Linked DNA regions of Macaca mulatta. The protein of the gene in region 2 interacts with the protein of the main gene of each other region in a pairwise test. Links are inferred from orthologs where the notes say so. Each region holds a gene or a part of one and is shown on either strand. Other genes may lie near its edges.

Region 1 (3,745 bases), on a different chromosome or scaffold from region 2:
GGCCCAGGCTGGGACTCTAGGATAGGGTTGGGGGGTGCTAGAAGGGAGGCCAAGGCTGGGGCACAGGGCAGGGAATCACTCCCATTTCCTCCCTCCCAGCTGATCCTGCACTCCATGCACAAGTACCAACCCCGCATACACCTAGTTCGGGCAGCTCAGCTCTGCAGCCAGCACTGGGGGGGCATGGCTTCCTTTCGCTTTCCGGAGACCACATTCATCTCCGTGACGGCCTACCAGAACCCACGGGTGAGTGCCCCTGCTTGAGGGGGTGGTGGCGCCCTGCCCAGTCCACAGTTGCTTTGACCCTGGATGTGTGTCCCCAGATCACACAACTGAAGATTGCAGCCAATCCCTTTGCCAAAGGCTTCCGGGAGAACGGCAGAAACTGTAAGAGGTGGGAGTTGTTCATTCATTCGTTCATGCATTCAACAAATGTTTATTAATCACTCACTGTGTGCCAGGCACCGTGCTGGACATCAGGAATACAGTGGTAAGTAAAAACATTCATTCACTGACTCAGCAAATACTTATATAGTACCTGCTATGTGCCAGGGACAGTTCCAGGCACTGGAGATAAATCAAACAAAGTAAACCAAAGCCCCAGCCCTGATGGAACTGATTTCTAGTGGGGACAGCAGACAAGCAGACAAGAGAAATAAATAAAATGCCATCTGTTAGGAAGCCATTCTAAAGAGAAGAGAGACCAGGTGCGGTGGCTTGCTTCTGTAATCCCAGCACTCTGGGAGGCTGAGGCGGGCAGATCACCTGAGGTCAGAAGTTTGAGACCAGCCTGCCAACACAGTGAAACCCTGTTTCTACTAAAAATACAAAAATTAGCCAAGCATGGTGGCACGCGCCTGTAATCCCAACTACTCGGGAGGCTGAGGCAGGAGAATCTCCTGAACCCAGGAGGTGGAGGTTGCAGTGAGTCGAGATCGTGCCATTGCATTCCAGCCTAGGCAACAAGAGTAAAACTTCGTATCAAAAAAGAAAGAAAGAAAGAAAACTCTGTCACAAAAAAAAAAAAAAGGAAAAAAGGAGAAGAGAAATAAACAGGAAAGGATAGGAAGGACTGGGGTGAGCTATTAGATAAGAGGCCTGAAAAGGCCTCGGCAGGAAGAAGACACTTGAGAAAGAGCTGAAGGAAGTATGGGAGGGAGCCGGGTGGGCATCTGGCAAAGCACACTAGGGAGTGGGAACAGCACGTGCAAAGGCCCTGAGGTGGGGCTGTGCCTGTGGCGTGGCTGCAGTGGAGTGAGTAGGAGTCAGGCAGGGGAGGGGAAGCCAGGTTATCTTGGACAGTAAAGGTTCCATAAGGCCGTGGGAACTGTTCCAAGTGTAGCCCCTCGGAGCTGGCCCCTGCCCTCAAGGAGCTTCCAGTTTGTCAGAAGAGACAGACATGAACCAAGGAGTCACTCCATCAAATGCAAAAGCATTTGCATTTAACTGTCTCATAACTGTGACAGATGTTATGAGGGAGGGGTGTGTGCTCTCGGAGATCAGGGAGGACTTCCTTGAGGAACTTGCGCTAGCACTAAGGCAAGGATAGGTTTGGTGGCTCATGCCTGTAGTCACAGCACTTTAGGAGGCTGAGATGGAAAGATCACTTGAGCCCAGGAGTCGGAGGATGCAGTGAGCTGTGACCATGTCACTGCACTCCAGACTGCACTCCAGCCTGGGCAACATAGCAAGACTGCATCTCAAATTTTAAAAATGAAAAGAAAAAGGGGCCGGGCGAGGTGGCTCAAGCCTGTAATCCCAGCACTTTGGGAGGCCGAGACGGGCGGATCACGAGGTCAGGAGATCGAGACCATCCTGGCTAACACAGTGAAACCCCGTCTCTACTAAAAATACAAAAACTTAGCCGGGCGAGGTGGCAGGCGCCTGTAGTCCCAGCTACTCGGGAGGCTGAGGCAGGAGAATGGCGTGAACCCGGGAGGCGGAGCTTGCAGTGAGCTGAGATCCAGCCACTGCACTCCAGCCTGGGTGACAGAGCGAGACTCCGTCTCAAAAAAAAAAAAAAAAAAGAAAAGAAAAAGGATGGGTTCAGCAGGTGAAGAGGGGACAGAAGAGGATTCCAGAGAGAGGCTCAGAGTGGAGATGGGGCAGAAGGATGAGCTAGGTGAGACCGTGCCCTGGCCTTGCCTCTGGGAAGGAGTTTCCATTGATACTAAACACAATAGTAAAGCATGGACAAGCTTGAGCAGGGACAAAATTCCAGCTCTGCCACTTTCTAGTTATTTAATTTTCTGGCCTTCAGTTTCATCTGTAAAATGGGTATAATGATGGCCCCTACCCGACAGGGTCCCTGGGAGGGTGAAATGCCTGGCACTGGGTAAGTACTGTTATTACCATCACCATGGCCATCACCGTCATCATCATCACCACCACCACTGTTTCCCAGGGAGCGAGATGCCCGTGTGAAGAGGAAACTGCGGGGCCCAGAGCCAGCAGCCACAGAGGCCTATGGGAGCGGAGGTGAGTATAGTCCCAATGGCGATGGGGCCAGGCCTGAGACACGGATCCTCCCTAGCCCAACCTCTCCCTTCCCTCTCCCCGGACGCACCAGGTGGTCCCTGCGACTCCACTCTGGGTGGAGACATTCATGAATCAGACCCAGAACAGGCCTCAGCCCCCGGGGAAGTCACCACTGCCCTGGCACCTCCGTGTGGTGGCCCCAGTGCCGAGGCTTACCTCATGCATCCTGCGGCTTTCCACGGGGCCCCCAGTCACCTTCCCACCAGGTGAGTGGGACAGGGGACCAGGCGGGGCTGCGGGACCCTCGGCACTGCTCTGACATCCTTCTCTCCCATGTCAGGAGCCCCAGCTTCCCGGAGGCTCCAGACTCTGGGCGCTCAGGCCCCTACTCGGCTGCATTTCTGGAGCTGCCACCCGGGCCAGGGGGCTCCGGGTACCCAGCGGCTCCACCCGCGGCACCCTTTGCCCCGCACTTTCTCCAAGGGGGCCCCTTCCCTTTACCATACCCCGGGCCTGGGGGCTATCTGGATGTGGGCTCCAAACCCATGTACTGAGCCATTGCTGGGCCCCTCTGCCTCCATCACAAACCTCCTGCTCCCTTCCCCCAGCCCTGGAGCCCCCTCACCTCCACCAGCCCCATCCCCCACACCAAATGGCTGCCTTGGGCCTGCCCACCCCCCCCCACAACTTCACACCTTGATTTCACTCCCACCCCGCTCTGGCTTCAAAGCCCAACCAAGGCTGCTGGGAGTCCAGCTGGGGCCGGCTTCCCCTTCCCGGCTCTCACCTCCGTGTGAATGGAAGGGGCTCTGCCTGGCCAAATGGGGCTACAGACCAGTATCCCCACCTACCGGGTCCCCCTGTGAGCCCTTGGGGGGGCTCAATCCCCACCCCCACACCACTAGTGCAGGCCACACCAGTCTGTTGTTCTGGGACCAGAGTATTTTTGTTAATAAAACTCAAAAGCCATCCATGCTCAGGAAACACTGAAGCTCCTGTGTTTGGCCCTGGGCGGGGCTGGGTGAGCAAAGGCTTTGCTGGGAGACCCAGACCCAGATCTAAACCTGTGTTTCCAGCTGCCTGACCTAGCACGAAATCTACCAGCTCTCTAGGCCCATCTCTTCAGGAAAGTGGAGAAATCAGAATCTCGTGATGCTGTTAATAAGGCTGCATGAGAACAGAGCCCTCTCCCTAGCACTGGGGAAGCCAGCGGGCAGCGGCCCCTGGAGGCCCTGGGCAAGCTGACTGGCCTGAGCCTGGCCATCCT
Region 2 (3,745 bases):
CAACCTGGTCTAGAACTCTTGGGCTCAAGCAATTCTCCCACCTCAGCCTCCCAAACAGTTCGGATTAGTGGCATGAGCCACTGTGCTGGGTCCAGATTTAGGTTTTATATCATTTCTAAGTTTGCCACATACTAGATTCACACTTACCCTGCTTATAAGACTAATAAAGCAACAAAAAAGTTAAACTGGCGCCGGGCATGGTGGCTTATGCCTATAATCCTAGCACTTTGGGAGGCTGAGGTGGACAGATCACTTGAGGCCAGGAGTTCAAGACCAGCCTGGGCAACATGATGAAACCCTGTCTCTACTAAAATACAAAAAGAAAAAGAAAAAAGAAAAAAAATTAGCTGGGTGTGGTGGCGCACACCTGTACTCCCAGCTACTTGGGAGGCTGAGGCAGAAGAATCACTTCAGCCCAGGAGGTGGAGGCTGCAGTGAGCCAAGATCGTGCCACGGCACTGCAGCCTGGGCTACAGGGAGACTGTCACCTCCCCCCGACAAAAAAAGAAAAAAAAGTTAAACTAGCAACTACCCCTTGTCAACCCCATTTTCATCCATGAAAACGTTAGGATTATAGGATAAGCGCATGCGACAGCCACTGACAATTCTTGGTACAAAAAACTGATGCAAATGGTCCACACCACTTTTGAAAATAAATTTAAAAGTCCTCAAAAAATGGCACGTGGTTCAAGACTTCAGTTTCTCAAAGACAGAAATTTTTGTCTGTTCCACCGTTCTCTTTTGCTTCTCCTAAACAAGTGATACGTATCTATATTATGACAATATTTCAACCAGAATTTTTTTTTTTTTTTTTTTTTTTGAGACAAAGTTTCCCTCTTTTTGCCCAGGCTGGAGTGCAATGGCGCGATCTCGGCTCACCACAACCTCCGCCTCCCGGGATCAAGCGATTCTCCTGCCTCAGCCTCCCGAGTAGCTGGGATTACAGGCATGCGCCACCACCCCGGCTAATTTTGTATTTTTAGTAGAGACGCGGTTTCTCCATGTTGGTCAGGCTGGTCTTGAACTCCCGACCTCAGGTGATCCACCTGCCTCGGCCTCCCAAAGTGCTGGGATTACAGGCATGAGCCACCGCGCCCGGCTCAACCAGATTTTTTTAACAAATACTTTAGGGTTTCATCACAACCTTTACTTCTACTATAAAACAGCATAAGAAGCTATTATTACAGCTGTTTGACAGTTGGGGAAACTATGACATACAACGATGAAGTAATGTGCCCAACGTCTGAGTCACAGAAAAACTGAAACACATATCCTACTCAACTCTTTTTATGTTCTCTAGCAGCTATTTCCTTTCTTCCTGGCATTAGCAAAACAAGCCGACACTGTGTAGGTAAAGGTAACCACAAACTTTTTATTAAAGTAGTAAATTTAGGCCAGGCGCAGTGGCTCAGGCCTGTAATTCCAGCACTTTGGGAGGCCGACGTGGGTGGATCACCTGAGGTCAGGAGTTTGAGACCAGCCTGGCCAATATGGTGAAACTATATCTCTACTAAAGATACAAAATTAGCCGGGCATGGTGGCACACGCCTGTAATCCCAGCTACTCGGGAGGCTGAGGCAGAAGAATCGCTTGAACCCGGGAGGCGGAGGTTGCAGTGAGCCGACATCGCACCACTGCACTCCAGCCTGGGCGACAAAGCGAGACTCTGTCTCAAAACAAAACAAAACCAGTAGGAAATATAAATGAAACAAATTTAAAAAGACCCCTTCAACAGAGTTCGTTACAGGAATGAACACATGCTGTTCCACGGTCAACCCTCTGCTAGGTAAGCTCCTCCCCTCACCCCAGTTTCTTCAGCTGCTGAAAAATTTTCTTCCCACTGCGATCCTTTAAGATTACTGTAGTTATTTCTCCCCAGAAAAAGGAGACAATTTCACTGTCTTCTAATCCAGAATCACTTTTCTCTTTAAATAGGTTATCTCTTTCCAATAGCTTGCTTTTCTGATGACAGCAACTTCCCAAGACTTCCCCAGATAGTCCCCATAGGCTCTAGAAGCAGCTGCCACTTTTCTCTAAACACCAATTGCAGCCCTTGGTTCCCAGCCCCCGTCCCTGGAGTGCGTGCTCTCCTCCCCACCACCCTACCCCACCGCGGCCTCAGGCCCTCCCCCCGCGGCGTCGGCAGCTCGTGCTCACCTCGGCCCCTGACAGGAAGGGGTGCGAAGGCCCTGTGATAGTCAGGTAATTGTCATTTCCTCCGGGAAACTGGAAACCAAAAGAAAGCCGCGGGGATAAGTTAGGGGGAGCAGGGAATTAGCTTGGAGCGATGGCTTCTGACCCCGACATTCTGACAACACTCCCCAAACCCCGCGCTCTCTCCTCTCCCGTCAGTCGCCTCTCCACCCGGCTTCCCGTCTCTGCTTCAACCCGGTCGGCCGCGTTCTCTCGCCAGCCTTCTTAGCTATCAGGTTCCTACCTCCATCTTCACACAACCGCTCCCACCGTCTCAGACCCTCATCGCTCCCACCGCCCCCACTGGTCTCGGAACTGCCGTCACTTCCGCAAGGACGTGCGTTACTCTCTGCTCATTGGAAGGAGCGCCGTGGGGGCTGCAGCGAGTCAGGCGGTGGCCTATCGCCCCCTGGAGCTTGGAGGGATAATGGCATGTAGAAGTACTAGAGGTATCCCTGGAGGTGGCGTTGGGTACTCCCGACCTAAGGAGGATTTCTGGGGAGAGCAATAGAGACGTGATCTGGGCTAGAGGAGCCGGAGAGGGTGGGCGGCCGGGAAGAAGAAGATCGGTAGATTGAGTGGCTAGAGAGGTTGGAGGTAAGTGGCTGTAGAAGTCGGGCGGACCCGGAACCCAGAGGACGCGACATCATGACTTATGCTTATCTCTTCAAGTATATCATCATCGGAGACACAGGTAACCCTCAGGTTGTTCGCCTTCAAGGCTGGGGCGGACGTCCGAAGCTCCCAAATTGGGTGGCGGGGGCGGGGCTCACTTTGTGGGCTGGGCGATTCGAGACGGGCGGGGCGGTTCGGGGCGGCCAGGGGCGGGGCTCGGGGACCCCCCGCTTCTCTGGTCCGGGAAGTCCAGAGTCCGGGTAGTGTTCCAACGCTACGTGACTCTGGGAGCGTGTTTTCTCTTTCAGGTGTGGGGAAGTCATGTCTCCTCCTGCAGTTTACAGATAAGCGGTTCCAGCCTGTCCACGACCTCACAATAGGTAAGTGCATCTACTTGTTCCAGAACAGATAAAACCTGACTAGCTAAATTGCTAAAGTGGAAAGTTAGCAGCCTTCAGTGTTCAAAGTAAAAAGTTATCCCTCACTACTTTAAACTAGTCCAAAGTTATGTTAATGAAGTGGTTAATCAAACGTTGATATGTGGCGAGTAGTGTAAGGGAGAGTATATAATTGAAAGGTAACTTTTTGGAGTGTGAGGTAGAGACTTGTCATATAATTTTTTTCAAGTACAATTTTTTATGTTTATGGAAAATCCCACGAAAGCATAACTGCTTATTTGTAAACTCATCTGTGCTTTGCAGTAAATTAATACCAGCCTTACTTTTAAAAAGTAAACACCAATACATGGACATTTTTTATATTGGTGAAGAAGCAAATTGAAGAGTCATCCCTGCCTTAGAATTAATAGGCAAATAAAACTAAAAACTTTCCTTTTAAATAAAACAGTGTGTTAAACAGTTCCTCATACCCACTGGGGATCCTGGAAAATATTAACATTTCCCACACATTTGTGATAAGGCATAGCCTGAAGGGGCTT

Evidence for each region.
Region 1: the proteins of TOX4 (region 2) and TBX6 interact in binary tests that used the Homo sapiens proteins (3 or more experiments, as listed by UniProt). The link is inferred for Macaca mulatta from reciprocal best matches to the Homo sapiens genes TOX4 and TBX6.

What each region holds. Positions count from the first base shown.
Region 1 is NC_133425.1:28,475,345-28,479,089, forward strand, and holds the end of TBX6 (T-box transcription factor TBX6), read left to right. Parts: intron 1-99; coding exon 100-246; intron 247-323; coding exon 324-394; intron 395-2,404; coding exon 2,405-2,478; intron 2,479-2,533; coding exon of another isoform or gene 2,534-2,569; coding exon 2,570-2,744; intron 2,745-2,818; coding exon 2,819-3,032; 3' UTR 3,033-3,462; downstream 3,463-3,745. UniProt on the Homo sapiens protein: T-box transcription factor that plays an essential role in the determination of the fate of axial stem cells: neural vs mesodermal. Acts in part by down-regulating, a specific enhancer (N1) of SOX2, to inhibit neural development.
Region 2 is NC_133412.1:94,338,077-94,341,821, reverse strand, and holds the start of TOX4 (TOX high mobility group box family member 4), read right to left. Parts: upstream 2,483-3,745; 5' UTR 2,444-2,482; coding exon 2,438-2,443; intron 2,227-2,437; coding exon 2,158-2,226; intron 1-2,157. Other genes in the region: RAB2B (ras-related protein Rab-2B), read left to right, coding at 2,842-2,887, 3,117-3,188. UniProt on the Homo sapiens protein: Transcription factor that modulates cell fate reprogramming from the somatic state to the pluripotent and neuronal fate. In liver, controls the expression of hormone-regulated gluconeogenic genes such as G6PC1 and PCK1.